2 linked regions of the Bombyx mori genome follow. The main gene of each other region encodes a partner of the protein of the gene in region 2 in a complex. Links are inferred from orthologs where the notes say so. Each region holds a gene or a part of one and is shown on either strand. Other genes may lie near its edges.

Region 1 (4,529 bases), on a different chromosome or scaffold from region 2:
GCTCCTCTCTGCTGTAGTATAGGTGGAAGACAAGGTGTCAAGGTGTGTGGCGCATTTACGTTGTAGATGTCTATGGGTTCCAGTAACTACTTAACACCAGGTGCGCTGTGAGCTCGTCCACACATCTAGGCAATAAAAAAAAAAAACAACACTTTGTACGACACATTATACAGTTTCTAAGCTCCAAGAGCTAAGGATGAAAGTTTTGCATAATGCAACATGTTCACCAGACCTTGTGCTGACAGACTTTTACTTTTTCCAAAGTTTGGACAACTTAAAATTTAATACCCGAGAAGCCGTTTAAAATGCCTTTAAAGAGTTTGATAGCACCCATACCCAAGTTCTTCAGTAAATGCATTGAAAAATTGGTAGAGATGCATCAATATCATGCATATTTTTATTTATAGAAATAAAAAAAATATTTATAAAAATATTGCTTTCATTTTCTGTATGCTTAATGGCAATTTCACAGGTAAATTACCTATTATTTATTTGGTATTTATGACTTTATAAGTATTATTATATTTTATAAGTATATATTAAGAATATTTTAATATTTAACGGCCGTCTGGTGTAGTGGTAAGTGACATGGTCACTACACAAGGGGGTCGCGGGTTCGAATCCCGCCAAGGGAAGATATTTGTATGATAAATATAAATGTCTTTTCCAGGGTTATGGATGTGTATTAAGTATATGTATGTGTATAATAAAAATCTTACATTTATTTCCGTTATCTGGTACCTGTAACACAAGTTCTTTACGAACTTATCACGGGACCAGTTAACGTGGCGTGATAGTTAGTAAATATTTATTTATTTATTTATTTATAAGCTAATGATCAGACGAGACTGCTTGTAACAAGGGAATATTTGTACTGGAATTCCTGGTAAGAAACAATTAACAAATTTCGATTTTTTATATATAAACCATCTATCTATCCTAGGTTACAATGATACAATGTGCATATGAGGAGCAACTGTATGATTTACATAAAGGATACTCCTGGCTATGCTCAGCTCTATGCTGTCACTATTAAACATTCAATACAAACTTAAAGAAGAATAGATTTATACTGGGTCATCATTAATTGTGATACTACAAAATATTCTGATTAAAGTTTATAAAATATTAATGACTAAATGTACATCAACTTATAGGGGTTTTAGCATTAACCATTTAGTTGAACTTTACTTTTTCTATTTTGTTCCACTATCAAATTGACAAAGAAGCCATGCAAACTGACATATGGACATGTTAATTAGATTTACAGTAGTAACAATGTCTGACATTAAAATGAAAAGACATTTTTACAGTACATTAATTTTTCCAATATTAATATATTGTATATATTATCTACCCATGCAGGTTCCACCATACTGACAGTTATTATGAAAATCTATTAATTTTGAATGTTTTATTTTATTTCTAAGCTTTTTTTTAATGTGAAAGTTTATTGTGAACCTAGATATTTAATAATATGTTTATACCTGTCCCAGAAAATACAGCATAGTTGCATAGCACACGTATATGAGGCATCTTAACTATTATTATTCAAATGAATCCATTAAGCTACTATCTCAGTAAATCCTTTTATTATCAAACATGGCATACAAATCAGGAATCAAATTTGCAATTATCATGTTTTATATAATAGCTATAAAATTTAAAGATTCAAATAACTGAATAAAGTATTTTAGTAACCAAGTAAAGTATTTTAGTGACTTCTCATATTATTTTGCTCATAATTATTTAAAATTACATATTATGAACTTGCAACTTGCTTCAAAGGACCTTCTAGATACTGAGCAATAGCATTGATTTTTTCTTTCAGAATGCCAAAACCAACAGCCTCATTCGCATAAAGACACAGTAATAAATTGGCAACTTGTGTGATTGCAATTTTCCCATTTAAACAATCTACTAGTATTAAATGTAGTCCATCTTCTTTAAAAACATTTCTGCCGTGTTTTTCATAAGCTGACCAGACATTACTAGCGATTGCAGCAGTGACTCTAGCATCCTTATCATTGTAACCAGAATAAGCTAGAAGTGCACCTTGATGATTCAACAACCTAAAATCAAGAAGCACCTGTAATTTTGATGTTTAGTGTCTAATAAAATATGTAACCAAACTAAATGTTTTCATTACAAAGTGTTTTCTACTCCTCCTGTATTAGCTTGACTTAAAACTTCTGTTAATGCTTTCGGTTTTAGCATTTTGAAGGCTTGGTGCTGTTGGATTTACATGAAAATGGCTAAGTACGAAGTTAAACTTGAATCGTTTTCAAGTGTTGATTTGTTATTATTTTTTTTTTTTTTTTTTTTTTTTTTTTATTGCCTTTGTAGGCAGACGGGCATACGGCCCACCTGATGGTGAGTGGTTACCGTCGCCCATGGACTTCAGCAATGCCAGGGGCAGAGCCAAGCCGCTGCCTACCGCTTAATACTCTCCACAAGCCTCGTTTGAAGAAGGACATGTCATAGCGCTCGGGAAACACCGAGGAGGGGAGCTCATTCCATAGCCGGATGGTACGTGGCAAAAAAGATCTCTGGAAACGCACTGTGGATGACCGCAGTGGCTCCAGGTAGTATGGATGAACTCTACTCCGGTGGCGGGCGGTGCGATGGTAAAAACGAGATGTTGGTATCATCTCGAACAATTCCTCAGAGCACTCCCCATGGAACATACGGTATAAAATACAGAGGGAACCGAAGTCCCTCCGCAGACCCAGAGGCTCCAAACGATCCGAGAGAATGGGATTATCGACAATCCGAACGGCCCTCCTCTGTATGGAGTCAAATGGAACTTAATTTTCGACGTCAACGATCTTAAATTTTTAGGATAATTTCTATTTTCCACTTTTACGTAGGATTTGACAACTATCAAAATACCGTCGCCGTCAAATATATTAAGAGTATAATCTATGGTCGCCGTCCGTGTCTCAATGTGTGTATTATCTATGCATCCGTGACAATCCGTGTAATCCACTGAACTTGAACTTTTTGGCGGGAACGCGAGGAGTGAAGTTGTGTGATTTGTTTTATTTTGTCTATTTAGTGTTTCTTCGGGTTTAAATATTTATTATAATTAATTAAGCAAATTACCACCCTTAAGTTGGCCCCTCTTATTGGATATCTTTATTTTTATCGCTCAGATTAGTTAGTTTTTATCAATTATCGTTTGTTCAACGACTATTGGTAATTGTTCGATCATAAAAACAATTAAATTCCCAATTATTAATTATTTTATATCTAATAAGCAAACCATCACCTCACGCCTACATTGCGCATGCGCCGGTTTTGTCAGTCAGCTGGCAATGGCCCTATTTACTAGCGTTTTGTTAACAAGTGCGTTTTAAATTAGATATACTCTATAGAGTATATCTAATTTATTGCCCTTGTAGGCAGACGAGCATACGGCCCACCTGATGGTGAGTGGTTACCGTCGCCCATGGACTTCAGCAATGCCAGGGGCAGAGCCAAGCCGCTGCCTACCGTTTAATACTCTCCACAAGCCTCGTTTGAAGAAGGACATAATATTAAGGGATCATATCTCTTATAAGGTTTGGCACTCTTTAATACGTACACGCGAGGCATATCTAAAAATAGAAAACAATACGTAACTGATAATATAAATATTTACCAAATAATAAAACAACACATTGATAAGTTTGAATAAAAGTTCTAGACAAAAACATCATGAATAAACCAGATTTTTACCAACAAATTTAAAAAATATTGTTTTAACTACATAGACAACCCTACAAACCTGTACCTATTTGTACTTAGGTCGTTTCCGTTTCTCTTATTCTCATCCCAATTGACCCCTATTTCGTTGTTATTTGTACCTAAGACGTCCCCAATATCCCCAAAAACAACAGATTTTTACATGTATTTTTATTTTATCAAATACATTAAATCCAATAATAACTGAGACTTACCTTTAATATATATGATGGTTCAAACACTAAATAACGTTTATAAATCACAGTCGTCTTCTATTATAATCAAATAAATAAAAGAGAGCAAAGTTTCTAGCACTGAAATAATTACCACCACAGAAAGTTAATTTGAAACGCGATTTTTTATAAGTTAGCAGCTATTATCATGCATATTCAGAGTTGTTTTGTGAACTTTCAACATTCTACTATTAAACTACAAAAAATGGAAGATTTTGCAATGAATATAAAACTAATATTGAGCGTCGAAAGAGTTTCCTGTTTTTTTCCCAATTCGCCTCTCAATCCCTAATCGCCCCATTTTACGGTACTTAATTTCAATAGTAGTTTGATGTCACTTCCGTTGCATACCTACGTGACGTTCTGTAAAAATTTTACCTCCATGCGCCTAAAGAAGTTTCACTTCAAAAATTATTTCAAATGGGACAGCCGCTTAGGAGGAGTTCAGTGGCTTAAATACGTACAGTAGAATTATTTATAATAAATATTTGAGCATAATTTTAAGACTTCCAGAGAATTGAGAAAATTGACATTATGATTGACATTGGCAAATGGCAACACTGGTTGATT
Region 2 (4,995 bases):
TTTATAAGAAAAGACATATTCCTGATTTTCAAATGCCCAGTTAATAGATTAATGTAGTGTTTCATTTGGAATTATCTTATATCGAATCATAAAAATACTCATTATTAGTTATACTTTGATAACTTGACGTATTCAGTGTCCACAGTTAATATCTCACTACATTCCTCAATATTTAACGTGTATCTTATAGAACCAATACCCCTTTTTGTTAAAATTGCTGATACTCTAATAATATAGTGCTTGCTGATTCAGTAGACATATATTATAGTAAGTAAACGAAGTTGTGTATTTACCCAAATAATATTATAGTCATATGTTTTATTCAAAGTTAAAAATAAACTATGAATGTGTCCATTTTTTTTTCGTGGTTTGCCTTAATTTTGCAACTTTTTTTTTTCCTACCTATGCTGATAGCCTTGAGAGGCTATTTCAGCTTACCCTAGCGTGTGTAGGTGAGCTCGCGGGGCTCAAACCGGAGAGTTGCTAACACTGACCCTAGGAAGAGCAGTGCTTCGCAGAATCTACCACCGGATCGGAAGCGCGACCCACTGAGAAGATCCGGCGAGAAACTCAGTAGTTATAGTTTATTAACATGACCACCATAATATGACAACTCTTATGCCGCAATACAACTTAGCCATGGGGTAGGCGTTCCAACAACTTCGATTTTAATTCAAGTTAGCTGCGAACAAAGAAGCAATAACGTTTGTGGCTCGTGCAATTTAGGCTAGCTTTTTGGCTCAAAGGATCATCATAGGTGTTTCTTAGACATTATACAAAGCCAGCCCTCACATTAAAATAGGTATGACTATCATCAACCTATCCTTCTCAATTAAACAGACCATTGCCTCGCGAGAGGTATACGCAAGATTGGTATCCGCTAGTGTGGACTAGCAAGCATTAGTACTTAAGAATAGACAAGGGAATTGGGCAGGAAGATAGTTGACCGTAACACTACTACAGAGGTAGTAGTAGCTTCAGGAAACCAGGGTTGTATACCTGCATCTAAATGATGGGCAATCTGTTTACCAGTTTCTATTAGGTATCTATATAAATAAAAATGAATTGCTGTTCGTTAGTCTCGCTAAAACTCGAGAGCGGCTGGACCGATTTGGCTAATTTTGGTCTTGAATTATCTTTACAAGTCCAGAGAAGGTTTAAAATGTAGATAAATATGAAAATTCTCGAAATTAAATTTAAATGACAATTTTGTTTTCCTTTGATGTGTCCCCTGTTGGACGGATTCCTTTTGTTTGTTTTAAGTTTATTTAATACAAAAGTTTAGGTATTTTATTTATCGATTAAGGTACTACGAAGTCTGCCGAGCCAACTAGTATGTAATATAAATCGTATAAAATTTTGCCAAAATACCAGTTCCTTGTATAAGATCTTTATATTTTATAATATAATATCTATGCTTTTTTTATTACTTAGATGGGTAGACGAGCTTACCGGAGCAACGTAGATGCTTCTACTCACCTTGAGACAAGAGTTCTAAGGTCTTAGTTGTAACAGTACAACGGCTGCTCCACCCTTCAAACCGAAATGCATTACTGCTTCACGGCAGAAATAGGCAAGAATATTATGCTGGGAGCGCCTGAGCCAAGTGTCGTGGATTTGTTAAATTAACGTTCAAGCTTAGTCGTAAAAATGTTAGCTCATTAATTGTTTAAAATTTGTTTAATTCTTTTTAATTTTATTCAATGTTTTCTTCTTTCTTTCAGACGGCAATAGGTTCCTTACGACGCGATTGTTGTCATCGCTAAGGTTATAAAATCAAAAACTACTATTTGTACTTTATTTTTATAATACATAGAAAAGGAAAACTTTCATCCCAATTTATTGAAGACTCAAATGAATCCACTTAACCTCATTTTGCTGTAAATAACTTTTCAAATAACAGAATACGAGAAAAAATAAGACTTGGCTTAAAAGTCTCGCTATCAGACCGTAAAATATTTTAAGTAAAAAAAAATGCTGTATGTCACCTGCCGTCAAAAAAATGTCAACAACTCTTCTATAATTTAACGTAATTAATCCAATATGTACATGATATTATTATAAATGCTGTAGTTACCATAAATATTATGAATGCTATCCTTACCCTTTGTCATTTCTGTGAAGCACACGGACCGCGATCTTTATTTTGCACGTTTACAACTGATAATGACGAACACATTACGGAACCTTCCAAAGCAAGTGTTCAGTGTACAGGCTGTGCCTCGTTAGGTCCTGAAACTGTTTTAAAATCTACAGACGACGATGGCACCATATATTGTAGCAGAGAATCTGTACCCAGTGCCGACGTTACGTCATTTCTGAGACAAGCTGCTATTCGAAGTATTACCTGTGAAGTAAGTATATTTCATAGGATTTACCTACATTAAATTGTTACTGCAGAAATATTTCGACCGTTTTCAATAACTTATCTCTTAGTATCAGAATCATATATTACAATATAATCACCTATATTTGTACATAAATAAATTTCTTAACAATGTAATACAATCTTACTTTAATTGGTCTCGTCCATTTCTTTATTATTATAATATTGATATCTAATGAAATTTATATAACTAGGTAAACTGGAGCAAGGATGGTGGCATAGTATATTTTAGTGAAGCACAAGGTCATGTGCTAAGCTTCACATTCCAGCTGTGCGATACACGAGCAAGAGGCCTCAAGCGATGGTTCTCTATACTGGTGCTTATGAAAGACAAGATGTTGCTCTTGAACATTACTCCAATGCTCTCTGAACACATGAAAGTAGGTTTATTGTAAGTGCTACATATTTGTGAATCACTAAAGAAGAAAGTTATATTAAATTCTTATTATTCTAAGAAAAATTGATTACATCTATTATTTTAACAATAAACAATCAATTTTTTAATATCTTTACCATGTGATCGGTCCTTCATGATGTGACTCTTGGTATTCAAATACCACTGACAGATACCCATTTAAAAATAAAAAACCTAATTTACAAAAGTTCATGAATGACTTCTGCAGTGAAGGAATATCACCATACAAAAAGCAGACTTGCAGTTTTTTTTCTTTTTTTTATTGCTTTATTACTGGTAGGGCGTTTTGTGGGCCTACATTGACAGGTACTAACATCGTGCCTATTTCTGCTGTAAAGCTGTAATGCATTTCAAATTAAAGGGTGAATCAGCTGTTGTACATTAAAAACTGGGACTTAGAACTCATTTTTCAAGGTGCATTAATGGCGATATTAACGTAGCAAGCTAAATTCATAGACCATTTTTTCCTAGGTGATCAGGAAGTCTCAAAAATGACTGCAAAAGATACCATTTACTGCATACACTCTTAAAAAAAATCCATTCCAAAAAAAACTCAACTGCTTTGAATGGATTATCTGCTTGATCCATGAATGTGCACTTATTTCATTGTTGCAATAATATTTTCAGAACATAGCTGCAGAGTTACAAAAATTGGCTGTTGCAGTTTTTGATGAGGAACAAAAAATTTGCTCACAGAGGGCATTGAGGTTAAGAACAGGGAGAAATGATTTTGGTCAGTCAAGGTCACTTGTTCAGTTGACAGGTAGGTACTATTCAGTTTTTTTTCTAAAACAAACATTTTGTAAAATCTGTTATCAAAACAAAACCTGCACTGCTTACTACACGCATCTCAGTAATCAATGTTTTCAGGAAACAAAGAAATATTCAAACTGTTGCACTCACATTTTTCATGGATACTAAAGGCAGGGGCACGTGTGTTTTCTGAAAATCTATATACCAGTCAAGATTTATTAAAAAAGATAAGTCCCATTATCCCAATTCTGGAGTCAAACTCAAGTGTTATTGAAAGTAAAGCAAAGTACATCCCTATGAGAGTTTTGGAGTCTATGTTATCAAATAATGTGTTCAGAGTAATGTTATTCTGTACATTGACCGGAGTGAATGTGAGTTTTTGAACTTTTTATTATATTAATCACATTATTAATATTCACAATATAAACGAACAAGCTGGTATTTAGTATTAGTTTAACATTATTCTGTAGAATCTGTACTGCTGTTTTTTTGTTGCTGTTCTTTTTTAAACCTGTTTAGAGCATGGAATAGTTTATAATTAACTAATATTACCAAAACAATAACATGTCTCAAGTAGTGCCATTTATGCAAGTAACCAAACAAATGGGTACACACTATTACATGGTCTATAATTTGGTCTGCCAATCTACAGCAGTTAAAAGGTATATAGATTCTAAAGCTAATCTTTTTTTAACATATACCAAACTTCTCAATTCAATTCATTGGTGGCATTTATTCAATATATATTTTTTTTATTTGTTTCAGATACAAATGCAAACCAATTTCAGGGATCCAGAAGAAATATTAATAAGTTTCAGGAGTTTACTACCAGAATTTGATTCATCAGCCAAACATAAAAAACCGAATACAGACCCTTGTATTATATCTGAAATAGAACATGGTAATTTTATTTCCAAATGGATGCAAACTTTACCTGTTAATTGTGAGTTTATTACTATTGAAATTAACTCAGTACTCACGAATAACTAAAGGGTTATATAATGATAAAAGCTATACATGATATGATTTATTATGACATGAATTATTCCAGGTCCAACGCTGATGAAAAAAATTGAAATTGCAATAAAAAATGAACATTTTAATGAAGCAGTTCTTCGCCAACATGTCTTATCATTGGTTTTACAATGGCAAGGGTAAATTGAAAAACTCAGTCCATTGGTTTGATACAAAAAACTAAAATATGGGTTTTGAATAGAATTTTTCTATTTGTTTTTTTGTCTTTGTTACTTCCAGAATAGCACAAGCTGTAAAATCAACCATGAAATCATCAGACAACAAAACAGATTCTGTTAAATTGAAACAAACACTCGGTGTAGCTCAGTATGATGAAACATTACTTAAATATTGGATGGATGCATTCTGTAAATAAAATGCCGATGTGTAGTTATTTAACTAATATTTTCTGAAATAATTAACTTAT

Evidence for each region. The genes of interacting proteins can lie anywhere in the genome.
Region 1: folliculin (region 2) and roadblock domain-containing protein 3 share a complex: the UniProt entries of both Homo sapiens proteins name them as parts of the lysosomal folliculin complex. The link is inferred for Bombyx mori from reciprocal best matches to the Homo sapiens genes FLCN and LAMTOR2.

The regions. Positions count from the first base shown.
Region 1 is NC_085123.1:7,142,158-7,146,686, forward strand, and holds roadblock domain-containing protein 3, read right to left. Parts: upstream 2,889-4,529; 5' UTR 2,807-2,888; exon of another isoform or gene 2,806-2,806; intron 2,306-2,805; 5' UTR 2,218-2,305; coding exon 2,150-2,217; intron 2,073-2,149; coding exon 1,763-2,072; 3' UTR 1,054-1,762; downstream 1-1,053. UniProt on the Homo sapiens protein: As part of the Ragulator complex it is involved in amino acid sensing and activation of mTORC1, a signaling complex promoting cell growth in response to growth factors, energy levels, and amino acids.
Region 2 is NC_085117.1:9,050,223-9,055,217, reverse strand, and holds the start of folliculin, read left to right. Parts: upstream 1-1,966; 5' UTR 1,967-2,087; coding exon 2,088-2,354; intron 2,355-2,580; coding exon 2,581-2,766; intron 2,767-3,428; coding exon 3,429-3,564; intron 3,565-3,671; coding exon 3,672-3,925; intron 3,926-4,319; coding exon 4,320-4,497; intron 4,498-4,605; coding exon 4,606-4,708; intron 4,709-4,808; coding exon 4,809-4,944; 3' UTR 4,945-4,995. UniProt on the Homo sapiens protein: Multi-functional protein, involved in both the cellular response to amino acid availability and in the regulation of glycolysis.